Linked DNA regions of Mus musculus: regions 1, 3, 4 and 5 are each reported to be linked to region 2. Evidence: microRNA targets listed by miRTarBase, many of them from high-throughput screens and not tested one by one. Region 2 holds a microRNA gene; each other region holds the end of a gene's coding sequence. Distances are between the middles of the regions.

Region 1 (4,286 bases), not on the chromosome of region 2:
CTACCACTGAGCTATTATTCACATTAAATCCAAGTGTGTGTGTGTGTGTGTGTATGTGTGTGTGTGTGTGTGTGTGTGTGTGTGTCGGCCAGCTCATTGCACTGACTTCTGATTCCTAGCACTGGCAGCAGTTTGAGCCCCAGCTGACCCTGTGGGACGTGTTTGGAGCAAGCAAGGAGGTGGAGGAGCTGCTAGCTCAGGGTCTGCTGCTGCTGGATTACAGGTATGTTGGGAATATTGTGCGGAGGGGGCTTCACAGACCCTGGGAGCTCTTGACTACAGATTGGGGCGTGGGAGGACTGCCATAATGAGTGTGTCACAACTAAATGTTCCCCTCCTTTTCAGAGTGGTAGAAACAAGAAAGACCAATAGAGGAGGGCATGGGCTGCCAGGGGTGGGCAGGAATGGGCCTTTATGGTAAAGTTAGAGTCATATCCAGACCTCTCGGTTTTCCAGGGGTCTCCGGTGTTCCTGGGAGGGCCTAGCTGTGCTGGACTCCCTGTTATTGACCCTCCTACCTCAACTCCAAGAGGCCTGGCAGCACAGGCCTTCCTCACCCGTGTCAGGAGGATGACCAGACATCCTTGTATCATGAGGAAGCACCAGTTGGACTTAGAGGGCTGGGCCAGATGGTGGGCATCTGCCGGTAGGTGCCATCTCTGCTCTGAGGTGCTATTGCTTGGCTCTGACACCCCCATGGGAATGGATGTGGTCAGTTGGATGGACGGCTGCCTCTGTTCTGGGGACTGGTATCCCTCACAGCATCCCAGGAGTCACAGGTCAGCAAGTGTTCCCTGCCTAGGATGTCCTCACCACCCCACTCCCACCCCCCGCCACTGGCTTTTGTTGACTTTTTTGGACACCAAATAACACAAAATCTTTCTACAGGGAATTGTATCTATCAGAGAAGCCTCATTCTAGAGAGAAGCCCTAGCTTGTATGGTTCAGTAGAACTAAATCCCCTCCAGGTACCTTACACAGAAGAAATATAGGAACAAGATGTTTACAAAACCATTTGAAGGGCTGGAGAGATGGCTTGGTGGTTTGCTCTTCTAGAGAACCAGGGTTCAAGTCCCAGCAGCCATGTGGCAGCTCACAACCATCAGTAACTCTCATTCCAGGGGATCCGGCACCTTCTTTTCACCTCTTCGTGTACCAGACACCTGTGTGGTGCATAGATATTCATCTAGGCAAAACACTCATATGCATAAAATAAAAAGAAATAAATCTAAAAAAAATATTTTTATCCAAGGCCACTTGTTGTACAGAAATGTAACCTATACTCTATGTATGTCTCATTATTTCCTAAGGGTTGAATTCAGGTTCAAAGTTTTAAACATTATTTTCATTTTTATTATTTATTTGGATTTTCAAGATGGGGTCTCTCTGTGTGGCCTTGGTCCTGGAGCTCACACTGTAGACCAGGCTTGTCTAGAACTCAGAGATCTGCTTGCCTTTCTTTGCCTTCCGAATGTAGGGATTAAAGGCTTGCACCAATACTGCCCACATTTTATTAAAGTGTGTGTGTGTGTGTGTGTGCGCGCGCGCGCGCGCGCGCGCGCGTGTGTGCGTGCAGCCATGGAGGCCAGAGTAGAGTGTTGTATCTTCTGGAGACAGAGTTACAGAGGAATGAATGTGAGCCATCTTTTCTGAGCACCACACTCTGGTCCTCTGGAAGAGCAGGGAGCACTCTCTCCTGCTAAGCTATTTCTCCAGCTTCTATTTTGAATGTAAAAGATTGTGGGGTTTTTTTTCCCCCTGAGACAGTGCCATATGTACCCGACACTGCAAACTCACTGTGTGGCTGAGGACAGTGTTTAGCATCGGACCCCCTGCTTCTGCCTCCCGAGTGCTGAGATCACGGGCATGCACCACCACACCCATTTTTCTGTGGTTCTGGACTTCATGCGCTGAGGCAAACACCACTATCTAAATCCCCAACCCTATCAGGTTCAGTATTATTATTTTTTTAATTTAGATTTATCTTTCTTACTATTTAAGTATTTTGTGTGCATGCCTTTGAATGTGCACACCATGCGTGTGCCTGTTGGATCCCCTGGAACTGGGCTTGCGGATGGTTGTGAGCCACAATGTGGGTGCTGGTTATTGAATGTGGGTCCTCTGCCAGATCAAATAAGTGCCCTTAACTGTTGAGCCATCTCTCCAGCCCCGAGGGTAATAGTGCACAGCTGCATCTTTCCTTTGAAATTAAGGAGTTCATTATCTTGGCTTGAGACCATGAGACCAAATGTCCCATCGCCTGATAATCATTTGACCAGTGACTTTAGCACCTACTAGTGATTCTTTCCCAAATTACTTTTAAAATTTACATTTGTATTTTTAAACATTTACTTATGTCTACAATTGCTCTATCTGCATGTACACCTGTATGCCAGAAGAGGACCTCAGATCACACTATAGATGGTTATGGGCCATTACATTGGTGCTGGGAATTGAACTCAGGACCTCTGGAAGAGCAGACAGTGCTCTTAACCACTGAGCCATCTCTCCAGCCTCAAACTTAGGTATTTTATGTATATGAGTGCTCTATTTGTATATATGCCTGCATGACAGAAGAGGACATCAGATTATATATAAATGGTTGTGAGCAACCATGTGGTTGCTGGGAATTGAACTCAGGACCTATGGAAGAGCACCCTGTGCTCTTATCTGCTGAGCCATCTCTCCAGCCTAGCCAAATCATTTCTTAAATTGAGGATTGCAAAGTATTGGTTTCTGATTCTATTATTCCTTCCAAATTAATTATTTTCCATTTTCCCCATAAAAAAGAACTTTCCTCTGTTATTGTTACAATGTTAAGAATCAGACCTATGGCCTTGTTCAAGCCAGACAACCTCCTTCTATGGTAGGAATCTCAAACCTGTAAATTCCTAACCCTGTAACAGGCTCATCCCATCGAATAGACCTTAGGTTGTCAGACTCCCTGGACGGGGGGGGGGGGGGGGGCGCTGCCATAATGGGTATGTCTCAACTAGATGTGTCCTTGCTCTTCAGAGGGACATATTTCTTCCTGATAACGCAAGACCTTTTTTCTTCTCCCCTGCCGCCTGCAGGGGAATCAGAGACAGTCTGGTGATGTGAAACCTCCCCCTTCTACTGAGATCTATAGGAAGGGGCCCCCCACTCTACCCTGGGGAACTTGGATCCTCTTCAGAACCCTACCATGTTGTCTGTGTGTCTATGACACTGGGGCTTGAATGTTCCCGCTACTGTACACTGTGCCGCTGTGCCTGTGTGTCTGTGGTACTGATAATTCTCTTAATAAATCTCTTACCCCAAAAGACAGACCTGCGTAGCTCCTCCTTGAGGCACTTCCAACCTTTCATTCTTGACTTGGAAATTGTATGCCATGCCATGCATGCGTGTGTGTGTGTGTGTGTGTGTGTGTGTGTGTGTGGTTTGTTTCATTGTGCTAGGGCTGGAACTCAGGACCTGTCACTGAGCTACGTTCTCAGCCTAAAGCTCCTTAACTAATTCCTTATCGTGGCAAAGGGTACCACGGTGCCAGAAGTGATTTAGTAACCCTGCAGGTGGAAGCATGCTGACTTCTAGTGGATGATGAAAGGCCAGGGGATCCCCCACACTGCTTAGGAGTAAGCACGTGTATTTCCCATGTGCCGGTGGGTGTGAATGCCAGTCCTTCTTTGACCCTGTGGTAACGTGGTAACTGTTACTTTATTCATGAACTACTCACCTAGCACCAGTGGTCTGCCAGGCACCGTACTGGGCATGAACAGAGGAATAAGACCTGTCTGTGCTCTCAGGGAGCTTGATGCTGCGGTGACAGATGTTCAGAGATAAAGCGTTGCTGGTTAAGGTGTTTCAGACAGCTATGGGAGCCTGGAGGGCACTGGGTTTTGAGGGGCTGAGAGGAAGAAAGAAGGCGAAAGGTGTTTGTCTTATCAAATCTTGTACCCCTAGAGCCCTGGTGAGTCTAGGCTTAGAGCAGCTGGTGGGTGGCTGGGGCCGCTCAAGGGTATCCCTGCCCCAGCCTTCCCCTGATCTTGATATTCGAGAAGCTAGCACAGGGCTAGGGGAGGGGCTCCATCAGATAAACCTCGGCCACTCAGGTTTCTCCTAACTGCCAGGGCTTGTGCCACCTGAGATGTCTGGGCCTTCCCTGCTCAGGCACCTCAGGGAGCCTGTGTAGGGGCTGGATGGGAGCCAGGGCCAGATCTGGGTGGCCCCTGTCACCTTCCTTGACTCAGCCTGGTCCCACCCTTTCCAGATGAATCAGAACGTCCTGGAGGTGGGGCCCAGGAATC
Region 2 (4,286 bases):
TCCCACATTCTGCATGTGAGCACATCGAACAGCACAGGCTGGGCCAGCAGGGTGAGGTTCCTGGGGCAAGTATTTTTCTCCTCTAACCCATATTCTTCCCACATTTTAGGGATTTCTGTTCTGGGCCCAGGGTATTTAGGACTCTAAAAACCATTGCATCAGCCATAGACTAAAGTATACGTAGTCTTTTTCTTCTTTGCTTTTAACCAGTGGCCCATGAAAAGTGTTCAACCTTTATTTGTACTGTTTGGCTTTCATGGGTTGGGTTTTCTATGTGTTAATTTTATATCTAGACAGAATATGACTTTTCAAGATTACTGTACCTCTCTTGCATGCTGTTGTTGTCTCTGGCTGTGTGTATACGTGTGTTCTGACCAGTTTTCCCTAGCTTGTCTTTACAGATGAAGACACTGAAGCCATTCAAGACTATGGCAGGGCCCTGTTCTCAGCATATAGACAAGCAGGTGTTCTAATTTACCAAGGAGTGACATTGCCTCTCCCTGTCTGCCCCTGCCTTACCAAAGGAGTGACCTGTCATGGGAGGGTAGAATGGCTTCCAGAGAGAAATAAGTATAGGAACAGATGGAGGCTGAAGAGTGGCGTCTCAGACTTCTTACCTGCTCTGTGGCCTGTTCAGAACTGAAAAGTGAGGCAGGGTTTCTTTTCTAGACAACTCTATTAAGCCCAGTAGCATAAAGTTTACTTGAAGCCACTCAGTTGAGAAGGGAGATCCCATTATTCTCACTGAGAGCAGAGCCCTAACAGCCCTAAGGTTTTCAAGGGCTGCCCTCTTAGACATTCAGGTAACTCTCAGGCCTGGTGCCAGAGAGCTACAGTCTTCCGGAGTTTATCAAATCATCCAGCTATTCCAAAGTAGTGAAGGATCACCACCTTGTTTCAGAAAAGGGACACTGCTCAGCTGACTACAGAAATCCTGCTTTTATAGGATGCTGAAGACTGAGTGGGATTGGATGAACATAAGGTTTAAATGCTAGGACTACTTTCCCTCCTCTGTAGTTCACTGCTTAAATTATCTTTCAGTGATTCTTATTTACAGAAAACAGGGTTTGCAGTCCATGGATGTAATCCTAGTCCTTCACTGGTAGTTTCCCCTTGCCAGGCCCTTTATTTGCTGGATAGGAAGAAAGGAATTAGCTTCATGGCATGCTGAGGACCAAAAGAAACAGGTGTTTTCTAAATGATAGCAAACTGGAATAGCCTGAGGGAAAGCTTTCTAGAGCTGAGATGGCTGACAGAGGAGGTGGAGGATTGATAAAAGGAGATGCCAGCACAAGCAGAACCTTCTGGGAGGAAAGGTGTGCCCTGGATCCCTGCAGGATCTCTCTCCTTAGCATAGAGGGAGGGGATTGGGGGATGGTAGAGGAAGTTGCTAAGAAAATTAGGCTGAAATGGAAATCAGAAGAGTTGAATATTATCATATGCAAATCTCACCTTCCCCTTCATTTACAGGATTTTGACCCTTGTTAATAACTGCCATCTAATCTATTTATGACCTAAAGCCCTCCCTATCATGGGTTAGAGTTCCTAACCCTCAGGCTCTAATTTTGCCAACCAATGTCAGTGTCACTCAGAAACCCAGTGTATAGATCTTCCAGCACTCATCTGCAGCTAAGGCCCTGGAAAGCCCCAGGGAGGCTGCTGGGCCTTCTGTTTCTCCTCTGGCTGGCCCAGTTTCTGAGAAGTCAGTGTCAGCATTGCTAGGCTTCATTGCTATCATCTTCTCTATTGCTGGAAAGAATAAAGGGGCACCAATGAGGCAAAAGAACAAAAGCAGGTCCTCCTAGACTACTTGACCTCTTGCAGTACCAACGATGTGTTCTCATCTTCACCCAGGGATAGCATGTTTACAGTGAGTCTCCCATCCAGATTGTCTGAGCTAAATCCCCCTCCCCAGTCTAGCTCTGAGTTCAGTTCAAGAGAAAAGAGGTCACAGTCAAGCTGTGGATCAAGCAGCAACAGTGGGCAGAGGGAAAGGAATATAGACATTAGCTCATCGTATCCTGTGACTACAGTTTCTTGTGCAGACATCGGAATAATAACCTACTTCACTGGAATCTTGGAACAATTGAATATTGTGACTCTGGGGATACTCACATTATATTTGCTCTATTACCCCAAAACAGCCAGGAGCCATAAAAAAATATGCTTGTATCTGGAAGCCAAAAAGTTTTTCTGGGGAACCTGAAAAATACAGCTCTACTCTTTGTCTCCTTTCAAAGATGACAGTTGTGACATCAGAGGAAATATACAGCAAAAATGCAGTACAATGTGAAACATAGCTTGTGAATCTTATTTTTAGGTACATTTTTAAAACATACCTTGTTTTGTGTTAGAGGGTTATCTGTATAATACAGTGTTAAGATACCAGCTTTTAAAAAGACATTAGGGGTTAAATCAAATTGCTAGCCTACAGGGTCATGGGATAGAGAGCAGGAAGGAACATACTCTTTTTGAATAATACTTGTGGAAGAGTTGTCCTGGCACAGGTGACTTACTTGGGTTCAGTTGTTAACATCTCATAGGTCATTGTCATTGTCTTGAACAAGTGACATATCTACCGACACTATGCATCTTGGGAAATTACATAAATTCAAGACATTACAAATGTACATATGTTGAATGGATTTGGTTCTTTTATTTCATTGTGTATGATGATTTCTAATGACTAATGTGAAGTCACACAGGAAACAAGCTTTGCATTGTTTTTGTCTGCTCAAAGTGTTGGCTGTATGGCTGTCATCTGCGTCTGACAGGCAAAATGATTCTCAGGGCTGAGGCTGGTTCTTCTGACTGCACATCTCTGCTTTCTTCAGTGAGATCCTCTTCTTCTGGAAGCTGGTTTCACATGGTGGCTTAGATTTTTCCATCTTTGTATCTAGCACCATTTGAAATCAGTGTTTTAGGAGTAAGAATTGCAGCACAGCAGAGGGTAGACTACAGAGGAACAGCTGTACACAGAACTGGCTCTCTCCTTCGAGAAATCAAGGGAAGACTTGAATAGTGACATTTGCTCTTGAGTCTGTTTGGTTTAGAGGCAGTGATAGTGAGAAAGTTTTTGTGTTCAGAATGTATAAGGGTATAATCAGGAAGTGGTCTACTTTATTCAGCATTCCATGGGTGGAAGAGGGTTCCTTGGGCCTGCACTGTTCATTAATTGTAGCAAGGAAGGGGTAAGAGCTCTGTATGTGGAGGACTGCTTCATTCACATCAGTATGGCTCGTCTGAACCTGGAAGATCCATGGAGCACTCATTCAGTCCTGGTTGCAGCACAGCTGAAATCAGACTGTCACCTGCCTTGAGATTCAGACCTGAAGAACACCACCAGTCGGTCCATCTCTTACACAGGCTGACCGATTTCTCCTGGTGTTCAGAGTCTGTTTTTGTCTAGCACCATTTGAAATCGGTTATGATGTAGGGGGAAGAGCACCAGCCTCAGAACCTTGTGGTGTCAGCATCAGCATCAGCCTATCACTTCCTACGTGGGCAGAGTGGAAAAGGAAGATCACAGTTTCCTAACTTCTTTAATTCGTATGTATGTGGCTGCCAAGGTTAGAGATCACTTAGTGGGGGGTTTTAATTGTTATAATTTATTGTTGTAAAATATTCTCAGTTACAATTTCTGACATGTAGTACTGTTATAAACTAAGTACTGTTAAACGTTGGCTTTAATAAATAATTTGCTACATTCAATCTATCATGTCTGTTTTATCTACTATTTTTCATTCATAATTCTATGGCAATGAGAAGTGGTCCCTGGAAAGTTAATTTGCTGTGCCAATCATAAGGAATTGGAAGTAGGTTGCTGCATGCAGACATTAAAAATGAAGGTCATTAAGACAGGAATGAAATTCTAAAGATGAAAGATTAGCAGAGACAGAAGGTTGGAGCTCTAGGCTGAGGGATGTTACTAAATGGGAAGACTATTCTTGGTTCCAAGGGAACTGTGGACTCTGACCCTCCTCCTGTCAGTTGCTGCAGGGAACTTACTTAACTGCACTGTCATGTGGCCCTTAAAGGGGAGCAGGCTAATTTCAGTTGTATTTGTAGCAGAGGGAGTTCTACTTTCCACTGATAGTTTATTTCAACCCTTCAGTAGGCGGTGAAAAAGTTCTATAAAACTGTTCAGAGATTTGCCAGCATTGGGGGTGGTGGAGGGGCAGGGTTCATGATTGGGGAACTTTCAGGAAGAAAGCAGGTGGCCCCTTCCATAGGAGTTGCATAGCTAACTATGAACTACCTGCAGTACAATTATTTCAAGCCAGTAG
Region 3 (4,286 bases), not on the chromosome of region 2:
GACACCTCTCGCAAACTCACTTGCTCTCTGGGCACTGAAGGAATCTGAATCTAGCCTGTGCAGGCCTTCTCTCTGCACACTAGGTTTTTATTCCCCTGTCCACTAAGGACCCCATGGAGAGGCCCCAGCCCGTCCTCCTTCCCTGACAGACAAGGAGAGAACAAAGACTGCCTCTTCCAGGGCTCCCTTGTCCCCTTCAGGCCTTTGCTGGCCTCTGGGAAATGATACCTGTGTAGACAGGACACCAGCCAGAAACCTTTGTGCTTTTGACCTCTGAACTTTGCCCCCTAGCTTCCCAGCCTAACGGTAGGACCTGGGATAACCTCCAGAGCTGGTGTGCATTCTTTGTTTTTGTTTTGTTTTCAAGTGTGTTCTTGCTTAACGTTTAATTGGCTCCAGTCAGTAGGAAAGCGCTCCAAGAGGGATTATTTATGGCTTACTGTCAAAAGCAGCTATAAAAAGGGCAGCCCGGAGCTGGGGATGCTGAAGTGGGGAGAGGGCTGGCTGCCTCACACAAGTCTGTGTGTGTGTGTGTGTGTGTGTGTGTGTGTGTGTGTGTGTGTGTGTGTGTGTGTGTGTGTGTTTGTACTGGATGAAATCAGATTTTTGCTGCCTCAGCAGTGTGGTTTAAATTGAAGATTAACCCTTTGACCTTCACAGTGTCAAATCACTTGCAGATGGAGGCTCCCCCTCCCCTTCCCTCTCTTGTTCTCTGTGTTCCTTTGGAATGGGGGAGAGGGAGGGACTTCTTGTCTTTCTCGCTCAAGCAAGATTGTTGTTCATGCAGCTAAAGTTAAGGGGGGGGTGGGTGTCAGGAGCCAATCTGATTAAAAGCAGTACTTGGCTAAACTCTGGAAAAATCCTGTAAGCAAGGGAGAAAGTCTGATCCTCCTGTGCTCAGTACACACAGCCCAGCGTGGTGTATTTAATGCCCAAGCTGCAGTTGTCTTGGGAGGTTCGTCTCTTGTCCCCCAGTTTGCTGGATGGCACAAAGGTGCCAGCCTGAGATCTGGCAGTGGGAGCCTGTTGGGGACCCAGTAAGGAGCCTGTGGCCTGACACCTAACGGTCATCTCTTTTCCTTACAGCACCAGCAGAACCGAGACCGTGCGTGGTGGCAGGTCTTCCTTTTCCTTCAAAACCTCGCCCTGAACAGACAAGAAAACAGGGAAGGGGTGGGGCCCTGGTGAGGCTGGACCGCCCTGGCCGGATGGATCACCAGGAATGCAGTCTGGGAGGACAGATACTGTCTTGTTAAGTTTTGTTATCCGTAACTTTCTATCCATGTGTACATATTACATGCCCCAGTGGGATCTTCTTTCCCCGTTCAGAACCTCCACTGAGGATGGGGGCCTTTGTCAAACACTGTTGAAGGAGAGGCAGCTGTGTCTGCTGGTAGAGTTCCTAAGGCTCTGAAGATGACCAGTTGGTGATGTTCTCCAGGAAGTGGACTGAGACTTGCTACCGGAGCTGGTTAAGTCAGGTTAGGCTCCCAGTACCATCAAACATGTCAGCCTTCCTTCGTGCCTGATGGATCATGGCTTTAACCCACCAGGACCCTGTCTGGGAGCCTCCTGGCTAAGATCAACTGTGCCTTGGCTAGCCCGATTCACGTCTGGGTTCCCACTTGGCACAGCCAGCGCCCACCGCATGGGCTCAGGGATTCTTACTCAGACGCTGTCAACTTCCGGAAGACCTCAGGGAGGGTCGGACTTCTCCAAGAACCCCTCAAAGGTGCCACAAAATGAATCAAACTTGAGAGGCTTCAAGTCTGACTCGGTCCTACATGGAAGCCCCTTGATTGGTCCCCAAGGGTGCAAACTACTGCCACCTTTGCTGGAGCCAAGTAGCCAGTCACCATGCCGTTGTACCCAGCGGCCTGTGCCTTTGTCAGCTCTGTTTTCAGAAGACCCTGCCAATGACTGGACTGGATCTGTCTGCATCCATCTCAGCAGAAGCACTTGGAGATGGGGTGGGCTTGCTGGGGGCGTGGGAACCCAGCAGCCATCCCACTGATAAGTTGGTCCCGGGGGAATCCTAGACCTCTTGGTTTCCTTGGAAACGTGTACCTCCTCCCCCTTACCCCCATTCCTTTTCTGTACCTAGCGGGATACAGGAAGAAGCTAGGACTGAGGCTTTGTCAGCTGAAAAGTGACTTTGGAAGTAACAGACAATGTTTAGACCATGGAAACTGCAGAGCTGACACATCTTGAATCTCCCTTTAGCTTTCAGCTAGGCCAGAAAGGAGAGTTCTAGAACCCAGCAGGACCTTAGCTGCCTGGGAGCTCCTTCCTTCTCTCCCCGCTGCAGTGCTCAGGGAGGGAACGAAAAGCAGCTGATCTTAGAAATTAAGTCCTAAGTGTTATGTATGTAAGGAAAGACATTGGTGCTATAATGAAGATGAGCCAAGGCTCAAAGAAAGATGGCTTCCCTAGACAAAGAAGAACACAGGATTATTCAAGGACTTTGGAGGAGAAACTCAGAGTAGACTCAAATTGAACAAGCCCAGTGACTCCCCATTCTGCAGAAGTGGGGGGGGGGGGCGGATTTCAGTACCATAAAAGGGCACCGGATCTCCTGGGTGTCCAGTTGGGCAGGTTTCTCCCTGCCAAGGCTACCGACAGAGGGGGCTCATAGAGGCTGAGGTCCAGCCTGTGCCCTGCTCTCTAGGCTGCACATCCTGATGTGGGCAGGGTCTGCCCAGAGTAAGGAATGTCTTTCCTAATTTGCACAAAGGTACTGTGTGCACTCTCAGTGGTCCTGAGGAGGACCTTAAGGCATGTGTATAAGCCTTTGTGTTTTTCTGCTCAGATGACCTGGAGATATTACCTCTTCTTGGCCACAATCATTTTTCTCAGGGTCTATACCATAGTTCGTCTGCTAAGAAAGTGGGTTTCTGTTTGCAAGGAGAGGGGACCCAAGTAATGAATATGAAGACTGGTTCTGAGGGTGGGCTTGATTATTTGTGAAGCCCAGCCTTCCTACATCCCACCCTCCCTGCAGTTTAGATGTGTGTGGGACATATGTGGTCTTCCCCTTTCCTGGATCAAGGCTATGACAGGCAGGCTTCTGGTATGTGCTTGGTACATGTGCTGCAATACATGTGCTTGATGGTACATGCGTGCCCCTCCCCATACAGAACCTTGTACTTCAGTTATCTTTAACATAACTTAGTAGACTTTCCATCTGTCCTAAGGCATGACTGTCAGCTTCAGCAACCTTGCTAGGTGCAGGCTGGGTACCCTGTGGCCTGAGAACTGAGCCCAGAGTTTGACCTGAACATTGAGCCTGGACCAGGCAGAAGCTGGTCAGAATGTACTGTCTCCATTTTGGGCCAAGCCGGGACCAAACTTACTAACTCAGGCAAGCCAGGGTGAAACTTAAACCCTCTTTTATCTTTAACCTGAATCCAGGCTGGAGTTGAAGCTCAATGATAAAGGGCTTGCCTGTCGGTCAAGAGACCCTCGGATGGATCCCAGGACTGTAAAATATAAATAAATAAAAATATGCCCCCTCTCTCCAACCTCTTGGAGGCAGCTGGCAGCCCAGCTCAAGGAGGCAAGAGGTTCCCCCTGGCTGCTTGCTTTAATTGGCCGGTGATCTCTGCCTGGTGAATTGGTTTTATAGTCTCTGAGTCCAGCCCCTGGACAACCCCTCCCCTTTGCCTCTCCAGAACTCCAGGAGCTTGGCTGTCTCTAGTGAAGAGTGGAGATTCAGATTCTGAGGGAGGGAGGGAGGGTCTGACCTGTGTGGTGACCTGTAACCAGCTGAAGGCAACAGGCTTTTGTGGTGTGCTGAGGATGGGGGGTGGGAGAAGAGCTGGAAAACTCTGTAGAAATGCCCTAGAGGAACAGAAGCCCTGTATTCAGGGGCCAAACTGCTCTACTAATTCACAATCCCCAGGAGGCATTTCTAAAAGCCAGTGAACAGATCTGGAGAGGAACATCCCCCAGTCCCGTCACTGACTCCCCCAGGGAGACTGGGGTGGTACGCAGGAGAGTGGGGGGAGGGTGGGCACTTTGCCTGGCCCTGTCTCTCTGTTTCAAAGTTTGGCTGTGCTGTTCAGTTGTCCCCAGTGGCCTTGTCTTGCTCAATCAGAGGTGGAAAAAGATCACCTCCCGGTGACCTCCTTCAGGCCCCAGGGGATGGGCTGTGTCCAGAGCTATGTGGCAGAGCTTGTTTCCAGAGCCCAGAGAGGCCCCGCTGGCCTGCCTTGCTGCCCCAGTGGCGAAACGCAAGCCCAACACTGAGCATGGCAGGGAGTGGGTGTTGGGGACAGTCTAGCCAA
Region 4 (4,130 bases), not on the chromosome of region 2:
ACTTTGTAGACCAGGCTGGCCTCGAACTCAGAAATCTGCCTGCCTCTGCCTCCCGAGTGCTGGGATTAAAGGCGTGTGCCACCATGCCCGGCAAAATTCATTTTTTGTATCTCCATGTTTTGTCCACTGTAGGTTTGTCTGGGCACCATGTGTGTCTAGTGCACAGAAAAGCCAGAAGAAGACATCAGTTCCCCTGGAGCGGATGTTATCAGCTGCCCTGCAAGTGCTGGGAACTCAACCTAAGCCTTCTCCAAAAACCAGGAGTACTGTGAAGCACCTGGCCGTCTCTCCAGTCACCAACAACAACGCTGCTTGTTAGCAAATATTTTGGTAGCAGCAACAAGAAATTGCCTAATATAAGGTCTCACCCATCCCTGGACTGCCCTTGGACTCCTGATCCTCCTGCCGCCGCCACCCCCCACCCCCCCGCCATTCCCCAAGTACTGGAATTTCAGACAGGTGTTAGCAATCTGGCCCATACAATACTTATGAAAATTAATCAGTTAAATCTTATTAAAGATATTAAAAATATTAAAGGAATCAATAGTTTTAGAGACACAGTGCTTCTGTGGATGGAGGTCAGAGGACAACTTGTAGAGAATAGTTCTCTCCTTCTATAATATGAGTCTGGGGGCTGAAGTTAGGTTCTCATGCCTGGTGGCAATTAATTAGTCTTGGCACTTCCCCCCACCCACAAAGTTTCTCTCTGTAGCCATACTCGGAGATCTGCCTGCCTCTGCCTCCTGAGTGCTGGGATTAAAGGTGTGTGCTACCACATCACACCCCAGACTTGGCACTTTTTTTTTGTTTTGTTTTGTTTTGTTTTGTTTTTGTTTTTGTTTTTGTTTTTTTGAGACAGGGTTTCCCTTATAGCCCTGGCTGTCCTGGAACTCACTTTGTAGACCAGGCTGGCCTCAAACTCAGAAATCTGCCTGCCTTTGCCTCCCAAGTGCTGGGATCAAAGGTGTACGCCACCACTGCCCGTCGACTTGGCACTTTTGAGAACTGCTGTGTGCACAGTACACTTGGACTCTTGAACACATATATGTTCTTCTCGTGGAGATGCTCAGGAGGGCAGTGGATATGGCTTCATCAGATTCCTCTCCTCTATGCCCACAGCCCTCTAGAAGATCCACTTCCCCTAAATTGCTTTTTACTGTCACTGGCCACCAGGAAGGGATATACTACATATCTGCCTCTCCCTGAAGTCATTACAAAGCTGGCACTTGAGTGGGTTCAAGGACTGCCAATTCTCAGTCAGTTAGTAGGAAAAACTCTCCTTTCTCAAAATAATGCAAAGTGGGTTCTGAGGCTGTGCTCAGCATCGAGAGCTGGCCATGTGCCTGGCCTTAGGACAATGGTGCAAGGAATGTCTAGTTCTGATCTTAGCTCCAGGTCCCTTTCCAGCCAGAGAGCAACCTGAGGCTGGTCACAGGGCCAGGCTAGACCCCATGTCATTCAGGACAGAGCTCACAATCTGTAACTCAAGCTCTTGAAACAGTGGCTTCTAAACTATAAGCTATTCGTTCGTTCGTACAGTAAATCTTAAGCTTAGTTACACTCTTCATACCTGATGAAATAAGTACACATGAAGTATTAGTCCCTGTGTGTGCTTGCTCTCAAGACTACAGCAGTGGCTGCCAGCTCTGTGTAGCTACAACTTCTGTGCCTCTTTCATCCCGCCTTCCTTTTTTCTCTTGGTATAAGTAACTGAACCCAGGACTTTGTGCTCAGTTGAGCCACACCTCCATATCCTACTAGGCAGGGGCTCTACCACTGAGCAATGCTCCCAGTCTTTCTACTGTTTTTTTGTTTGTTTGTTTGTTTGTTTGAGACAGGGTTTCTCTGTGTAGCCCTGGCTGTCCTGGAACTCACTCTGTAGACCAGGCTGGCCTCAAACTCATAGATCCACCTGCCTCTGCCTCCCAAGTGCTGGGATTAAAGGTGTGTGTTACCACGCCCGGCTTTATTTTTAAATTAATTGTATATGAAGTTTGTATCTATATGAAAGCCTGCAGGCCAGAAGAGGGCATTGGATAACATTATACATAGTTGTGAGCCACCATGTGGTAGCTGGGAATTGAACTCAGGACCTCTGGAAGAACGGCTGGTGCTCTTCACAGTTGAGCCACCTCCCTGGCACATTTACCTATTTTATGTGCATATGTGTTTTTGGGGTTTTGGGTTTCCTTGTCCGCATGGAATGGGCCCTGTGCACATGCCTGGTACCCGCAGGCCAGGAGGTATCAGATCTGGAACTTGAGTTACAGAGTGTGAGCTGCAGCATGGGTGCTGGGACCTAAATGCAGATCCTCTTGAAGAACAGCCCATACTTCTACCTGCTGAGCCAGCGCTCCGCCTGTCCCCTCCACCTGTCCCCTCCCCATTGCTGAGACTGGGTCTCAGTTGCTCAGGCCTTCCAACTAGCTACGACAGGCCTGTGCCACCAGACCAGCCTCTAGCTTACCTTTTAGTATGACTGCCCCTTAAGAGTCCAAAAGTTCCAGTTTCTTTCTTTCTTTCTCTTTTTTACATTTATTTATTGTTATATGTAAGTACACTGTAGCTGCCTTCAGACACTCCAGAAGAGGGTGTCTGATCTCATTATGATGGTTGTGAGCCACCATGTGGTTGCTGGGATTTGAACTCAGGACCTCTGGAAGAGCAGTCAGTGCTCTTAACCACTGAGCCATTTCTCACACACACACACACACACACACACACACATACACACACACACCGTTTCTTTCATGTCCTTACAGGTAGTGCCAGATGCTCTGTCACTGGTAAAGCTAACAAAAAGAGTGTTCACTGTTCAATCTGATTTTATTGAAAAGGAAACATACAAAAATCATGTACAAAAAAAATTAACCAAACATGTACAGAAAATTCATTCCAGTATATCTACAGCAGTGCATGTACAGTATCTTACAGGCTGGGCCGTCCCTCCCCGCTCCCAGACTCCTCCCTCTTCTGAGACTTCCCCCCTCCCTGACTCCCCATCTTCCTCCCCAGCGCTTTGCCCTGGGGACTAAGGCTGGGGTGGCTTCCGCCAATATCTCCCACCCCCCAAATGAATGCCAGTGGTCACACGTGCTCTCTCTAAACCTATGCAATGAGATGGATGGGGATTGGGGGGGGGGGGGTGGTCCCGGGCAGAGCACAGGATTCACAGTCTGGACCCCTCCTGGACACCCCCAGATGAAGGTGAGGCAGGCATCGTTCACCGCCCGCCGGCGGCTCAGGGAAGATGGCTGGGCACTGGGTTAAGAAGGCCTTCACACGCCCCCCATTCTCTGGCTCCAGGAGGCTAGTGGTCAGGTTTGGCTCATATGCTCTTCACAGACCCCCTCCTCAGGAGGAGGGGGGGAAGCACCAGGGGCCTGAGGCCAGGCCCAAAGTGAAGGCGCACTGGGGACACCCCCAGCGTCCCCCCTGCAGCTGGAACGGGCAGCCAGCACCAGCAGCCTTTCCTGAGATGGTGGTGGGCGGCAGAGGCGGGCGGCTCGGTCCCCACCCCCTCAGTCACCATGAGTCCTTCAGCCCTCCCTTCCCTGGCTTTCGGGAGGCCAGGGTCCCCCCAAGTCCGTATCTCCATCAGTGCACCCAGGCTGCCCGGGCTCGAGTGGCATCCCTTGCCTGCCCCTGGGACGGGCAAGGCTGGCAGTCCAGTATGCTACATGGTGCAGAAAAAGTCCCCCGCGCTGGCCAGGGTGTCAGAAGGCGGAGGGGGTCCTGCCCCCCAAGTCTCCGACGTCCCCCGGGCGGGTGTAGGCACCTAGTTGGGCTCCATTTCTGGGGCTCCAGGATCCCTGGGTAAGGGGAGGAGTCCCATGAAGAGATTGTACATGACCCTCCAGGGTGAGGGTCGGTGTCGATGCTGCTCTTCTTGTCTCTGGGGAGAGGAGGAAGTAGGAATTAGCTTGGACCCGCAGACAGTGGGTTAGTGAGCAAAAGGTGTGGGTTCGAGATCGGTCCCAAAACTGAGCGCAACCCTCTTACCAGCCATTTTTCAGCCCCTCACTCACCAGGGCACACTCTCCCAACCTAGGTGGGAAGGGGCTGGGGCAGAATTCCCATAGCATAGAGCCTAGCACACACACCCTACGAATCACAAGGGCTCTAAGGGG
Region 5 (4,286 bases), 180 Mb from region 2:
CTCATTTAAACAAATACTGCATTTCCTTCTGGCTACCACTTTCTTTGTAAGACTGAGCTCACGTTTCTGTCAGCAGCCTATTATAGACCACCGGCTTACACATTCTTCTTTACTCTCAACAAACATAACTATATATATCTCATCTTGATAACAAGGACAAGAGCTCGATCAAGCCCTGATGTTGTTTTGCTCACCTTTGTTGCTGCAGTATCTGGCACAGTCCCCAGTAAAAAGCATTTAATAGATGTCACAGCTTTTATAGCTCTGTTGCTAGGCTTTTAAAATGACTAATAGATTTAGTAGTTCCCCATCCTTCCCCTTTGAGAAGATCTACTTGCAATGTGCACTATCTGAAGTATGCTGTGGCAATGTGACGACTGCATGGCTTTTTATTAAAAAAAATTTTTTTTTTCAAGTTTCAAGTCCTGAAATTTGCTCTGTTGACCAGGCCTCTAACTCAAGAGATCCGCCTGCCTCAGCCTCTGAGTGCTGGGATTAAAGGCGTGTGCTGCCACCACCTGGCTTTTCACAGATTTTTAGCTCAAAATGTCCTTTTCATCTTCTTCCCCAACAAGAGGTAACAGGCATTTCACTGGTTCAGAAGGGATGATGATGGCTAGGACTAAGACTGGCTAGGGGTAATGAACTCTGGAGGTAGAATAGGGACCACTTGGACATGTGGGATGCACACAAACCAAGAAGGATTTTTTCTTTAAAATTTTCTAATTTGATCAACTGAATGGTGTTTGTATTCAACCCTCTGGGAAAGAGCAGCTAAGAGGTAAGCTAATCTATTCATTTACCAATGAAACTAAATTCTATAAATTTTATTGATGTGTCACCATTTTTTAGTTTTTGGTGGTGGCACTGTGGAAGGCAGTTATTACTGATCACTTTAGGGACACCACTTGGCACTGACTATGCTTTCAGGTTTACAGTGTTTTTGTGGTCAGTGTCACCATTCATGCCCAGAACTTTTTACACTCTTACTGAAACTTGAGTAAGTCTGTCCCTTTTCCTCCAAATCATTCACAATTCTTTCCTTCTATACACTTTCCTGCTTCATGTAAGTGGAATCCTGATGTTTGCCTTTGGTGTCTTATCTCATGTAGCACTGTGTCTTTGGAATTCATGCACCATGCAACATCTGTCAGGCATCTCTGTTTTTAAGGTGTTTTTCTTTCAGCCCTGTAGATACCTGCTTAAGTCAGGCTTTGGGAATGGTTCTCAGAAGCTGAACTGCTCAGACATACTGTGAGTTTGTTTTATCTTTCAGAAGCTGCTCTATCAACTGATTGTAAAGGTCCCAGTTTCTTTGTACCTCAGTGGCTGCTCTTTTTATTTTCAGAAAAAACAAAAAAAAAACAAAACAAAACAACAAAACAGTTATCCAAATGGGCAGGAAGCTGGAACCTGTTCCAATTTGTGTTTGGCTTTGTATTGGTTAAAGATGAGAAACAGTTTTTTTTTTTGTTTTTAAAGATTATTTATTTAATTTATGTATGTGAATCCATTGTTGCTCTCTTCAGACACACCAGAAGAGGGCATCAGATCCCATTACAGATGGTTGTGAGCCACCATGTGGTTGCTGGAAATTGAACTCAGGACCTCTGGAAGAGCAGTCATTGCTCTCAACCGCGGAGCCATCTCTCTAGCCCGAGAAACAGTTTTTCTCTTAGGCATCTTCTTTGGAGAAACATTTGTTGTCCATTTGTGAGTTATCTGGGTCACTGGCTTTTAATTCTTGAGTTTTTAGTTATTTTGTAGTATGGAACACTTCTGGGTATATGACATATTTACATGGAACAAGAAAAAAATGTGTTTAGCTTGCATAAAAATGCATCACTGAAAAGCCCACTTCAGCGGGTGGGGTGGGGTGGGGAGGTGTTGCCTCAGGAAAGGCATCTTCCTGGAGCTCTCCTCTATTACCTGTAGACAGCTCAGGAGGCTAAAGTCTCTTCTCTCCAGCAATCAGTATTGCCGAGATAACCTTGGGGAGGGACCTGCTGAATTATTTAAGTTTCAGAAACTTTTTAAGACTTGTGAGTTATTTATTTCCTGAGCCCCATTAAGTTTCATTTACTTCCCGAGTCTTAGGAGTCTCCCTCCAGGACGGAATGTTTTAATTTGGAGGAAATTACTATGCAGTACCACTATTCTAACCATTATTTGAGAATGTTATTTATATATTTAAAAGACTATCTTGCCATCTTCTAATTAAAAGAAAACACTTTCTAGTATATAATTCATATATAAACGGATGGCCATTTCTATACTAAAATCTAAAATTGCAAAGCATGCTGTCGTGGGCTGGAGAGATGAGATGGCTCAGCAGTTCTGAGCAATGGCTGTTCTTCTAGAGGACCCAGTTTGATTCTGTGGACACACATGGTGACTAACACCTGTAACTGCAGTTCCAGGGAATCCAGTGCCCCTTCTGGCCTCTGTGCACACTGCACACATGGAGTGCACAGATACTCATGTAGGCAAAATATTCATACACATAAAATAAAATTTTAAGAATTACTTATTATTAATCACATAATATTTTAAATTAGTATATTTAGTATTTGTTAATGATCAACTTATGAATTGCTTATGGGATACCGTTACAAGAAAATAAACATAGCATAGAACTGTAGAAACAATACTTAAATGATATAATTGATAGAAAAGTGAAATAAACTTGGTATGTAAAAGGCATTGACAGGGCTGAAGAAAAGGAATGCGTATGCAGATATGTGTGCTGTTGATTGAAGTAGCTAAAGAAAGCAGTATTACTGGCAAATGCTAACAAATAACTGTGGTGGTTTGAATAGAAACGGCCCCCATAGACTCATGTGTTTGAATGCTTGGCCCATAGGGAGTGGCACTATTAGGAGGTATGGCCTTGTTGGAGGAAGTGTGTCGCTGTGGGCTTGGGAGAGCCTCCTCCAGGCTGCCTGCAGAAGACAGTCTTGTTCTGGCTGCCTTCAGATCAAGATGTAGAACTCTCAGCTCCTTTTCCAGCACCATGTCTGTCTGCAGGCTGCCATACTTCCCACCATGATGATACTGGACTGAATCTCTGAACTGTAAGCCAGCCCTAATTAAATGTCTTCCTTTATAAGAGCTGCCTTAGTCATTTTTGTTTTTTACAGCAATAGAAACCCTAACAATCAAACTCTAAAGTATTAACTGGTTTGAATTGTTCAAAATCTATTATTCTTAATAACCACTTTACTTAATCCATAGAAAATTGAAAAAGTGCTAGATTCTGAATTTCTGGTAAAACCTTCCAAGACCAAGGTTAGATCAGTAACCTGTCCTCCAGATATAAAATGTAATTTACATATTTTACAATTATCACGGATTACAAGTATCAAGGGTTATTTTCAAAGTTGTGCATTTAATATTTTCTATAAATATATAATCTATAGCTAAAAGAAAATACCATCTTCTAAAAGCAAAACAAGACAGAACTTCACTGATCTGTAACTAAAGGACGGCTTTCCATTTCTTGACAGGAGTTGTTGTGTAGACTAGAAAAAAAAAACAGAAAGTAAAAACAAGAGATAAGTACATCACTGGATTCCACATTTTTTTATAGTAAGGAAAAGTGCACCTTCCTTAGGCGAATCTTGTTGATGACTAGGTAAGCAATATGGCTGAGGCTTCTACACAAAATTCAACCTTGGGCTCACTTCTTGATTTTAAGGACTAGACTTTTATAACAATGCCTGATTTGACAAGCTCATCTATCAGCAGGAAAAAGTTACAGAACTCCCACTTTACCATCTCTGACTTCACTTAAAAGCTGTGCCTGTTCTCCACATGCCAGTACCCTTGGTCCCCCCAGGCACTGTGTGTCTCTATGGCAGAGGACTTGGACCTACTTCACTGAATGGGAGACTTAGGGAGACTTCAGGTGAGCTCCTGCAAAACTGTTTAAGTGCCAGGAGAAAAGGCATTAATATTCAGAAGGATACATACATATCTTCCCATCTTTCTCTAGTTTTCTCAAATGAAGCAAGAGATTATGCTCTGCCATCTTATGTAAATTCTCTGGAACATCCTGAAAGAAAAACAGGATAAAAGGAGTCCCATTTTTAAAGAATACTTAATTGTTTAGAGCCTTTTCCAGCTTTCCTACCACACACAACACCCAAGTTCCCCTCCAGCACACATGAAGTGGGTGAGCAGCACACATGGAGTGGGCGAGCAGCACACATGGAGTGGGCGAGCAGCACACATGAAGTGGGCGAGCAGCACACATGAAGTGGGCGAGCAGCACACAGGCAATCTCA

The links. The annotated mature microRNA mmu-miR-29b-3p reads UAGCACCAUUUGAAAUCAGUGUU and lies in region 2 at 2,898-2,920, shown strand. An mRNA with a match to its seed (bases 2 to 7 or 8) in the 3' UTR can be bound and repressed. Matches are read on the target gene's strand: a 7mer-m8 pairs with bases 2 to 8, a 7mer-A1 pairs with bases 2 to 7 and ends in A, and an 8mer does both.
Region 1: miRTarBase lists Rsad1 as a target of mmu-miR-29b-3p. Seed matches in the 3' UTR shown: 7mer-A1 at 669-675 and 7mer-m8 at 2,442-2,448.
Region 3: miRTarBase lists Bmf as a target of mmu-miR-29b-3p. Seed matches in the 3' UTR shown: 8mer at 2,383-2,390.
Region 4: the mRNA of Bbc3 is a reported target of mmu-miR-29b-3p. Seed matches in the 3' UTR shown: 7mer-m8 at 3,457-3,463 and 7mer-m8 at 3,372-3,378.
Region 5: miRTarBase lists Lactb2 as a target of mmu-miR-29b-3p. Seed matches in the 3' UTR shown: 7mer-m8 at 3,008-3,014.

What each region holds. Positions count from the first base shown.
Region 1 is chr11:94,538,818-94,543,103 of GRCm38, reverse strand. Rsad1 (radical S-adenosyl methionine domain containing 1) reads left to right here. Exons shown (of 9, transcript NM_001013381.2): 8 at 120-223; 9 at 457-3,306. The coding sequence ends at 574. Among named protein-coding and RNA genes, the nearest start is that of Rsad1, 8.2 kb to the left of the region's middle.
Region 2 is chr1:195,034,194-195,038,479 of GRCm38, forward strand. Mir29b-2 (microRNA 29b-2) reads left to right here and starts at 2,847; the gene lies at 2,847-2,927. It overlaps A330023F24Rik (RIKEN cDNA A330023F24 gene), which reads left to right. Exons shown (of 8, transcript NR_015566.2): 8 at 1-3,715. It overlaps Mir29c (microRNA 29c), which reads left to right and starts at 3,354; the gene lies at 3,354-3,441.
Region 3 is chr2:118,529,460-118,533,745 of GRCm38, reverse strand. It overlaps Bmf (BCL2 modifying factor), which reads left to right. Exons shown (of 5, transcript NM_138313.4): 5 at 1,087-4,286. The coding sequence ends at 1,188. Among named protein-coding and RNA genes, the nearest start is that of Bmf, 18 kb to the left of the region's middle.
Region 4 is chr7:16,316,883-16,321,012 of GRCm38, reverse strand. Bbc3 (BCL2 binding component 3) reads right to left here. Exons shown (of 4, transcript NM_133234.2): 4 at 2,679-3,895. The coding sequence ends at 3,779. It also overlaps a transcript of Sae1 not described here. Among named protein-coding and RNA genes, the nearest start is that of Bbc3, 9.4 kb to the right of the region's middle.
Region 5 is chr1:13,623,384-13,627,669 of GRCm38, forward strand. Lactb2 (lactamase, beta 2) reads right to left here. Exons shown (of 7, transcript NM_145381.2): 6 at 3,973-4,054; 7 at 2,515-3,521. The coding sequence ends at 3,478. Among named protein-coding and RNA genes, the nearest start is that of Lactb2, 35 kb to the right of the region's middle.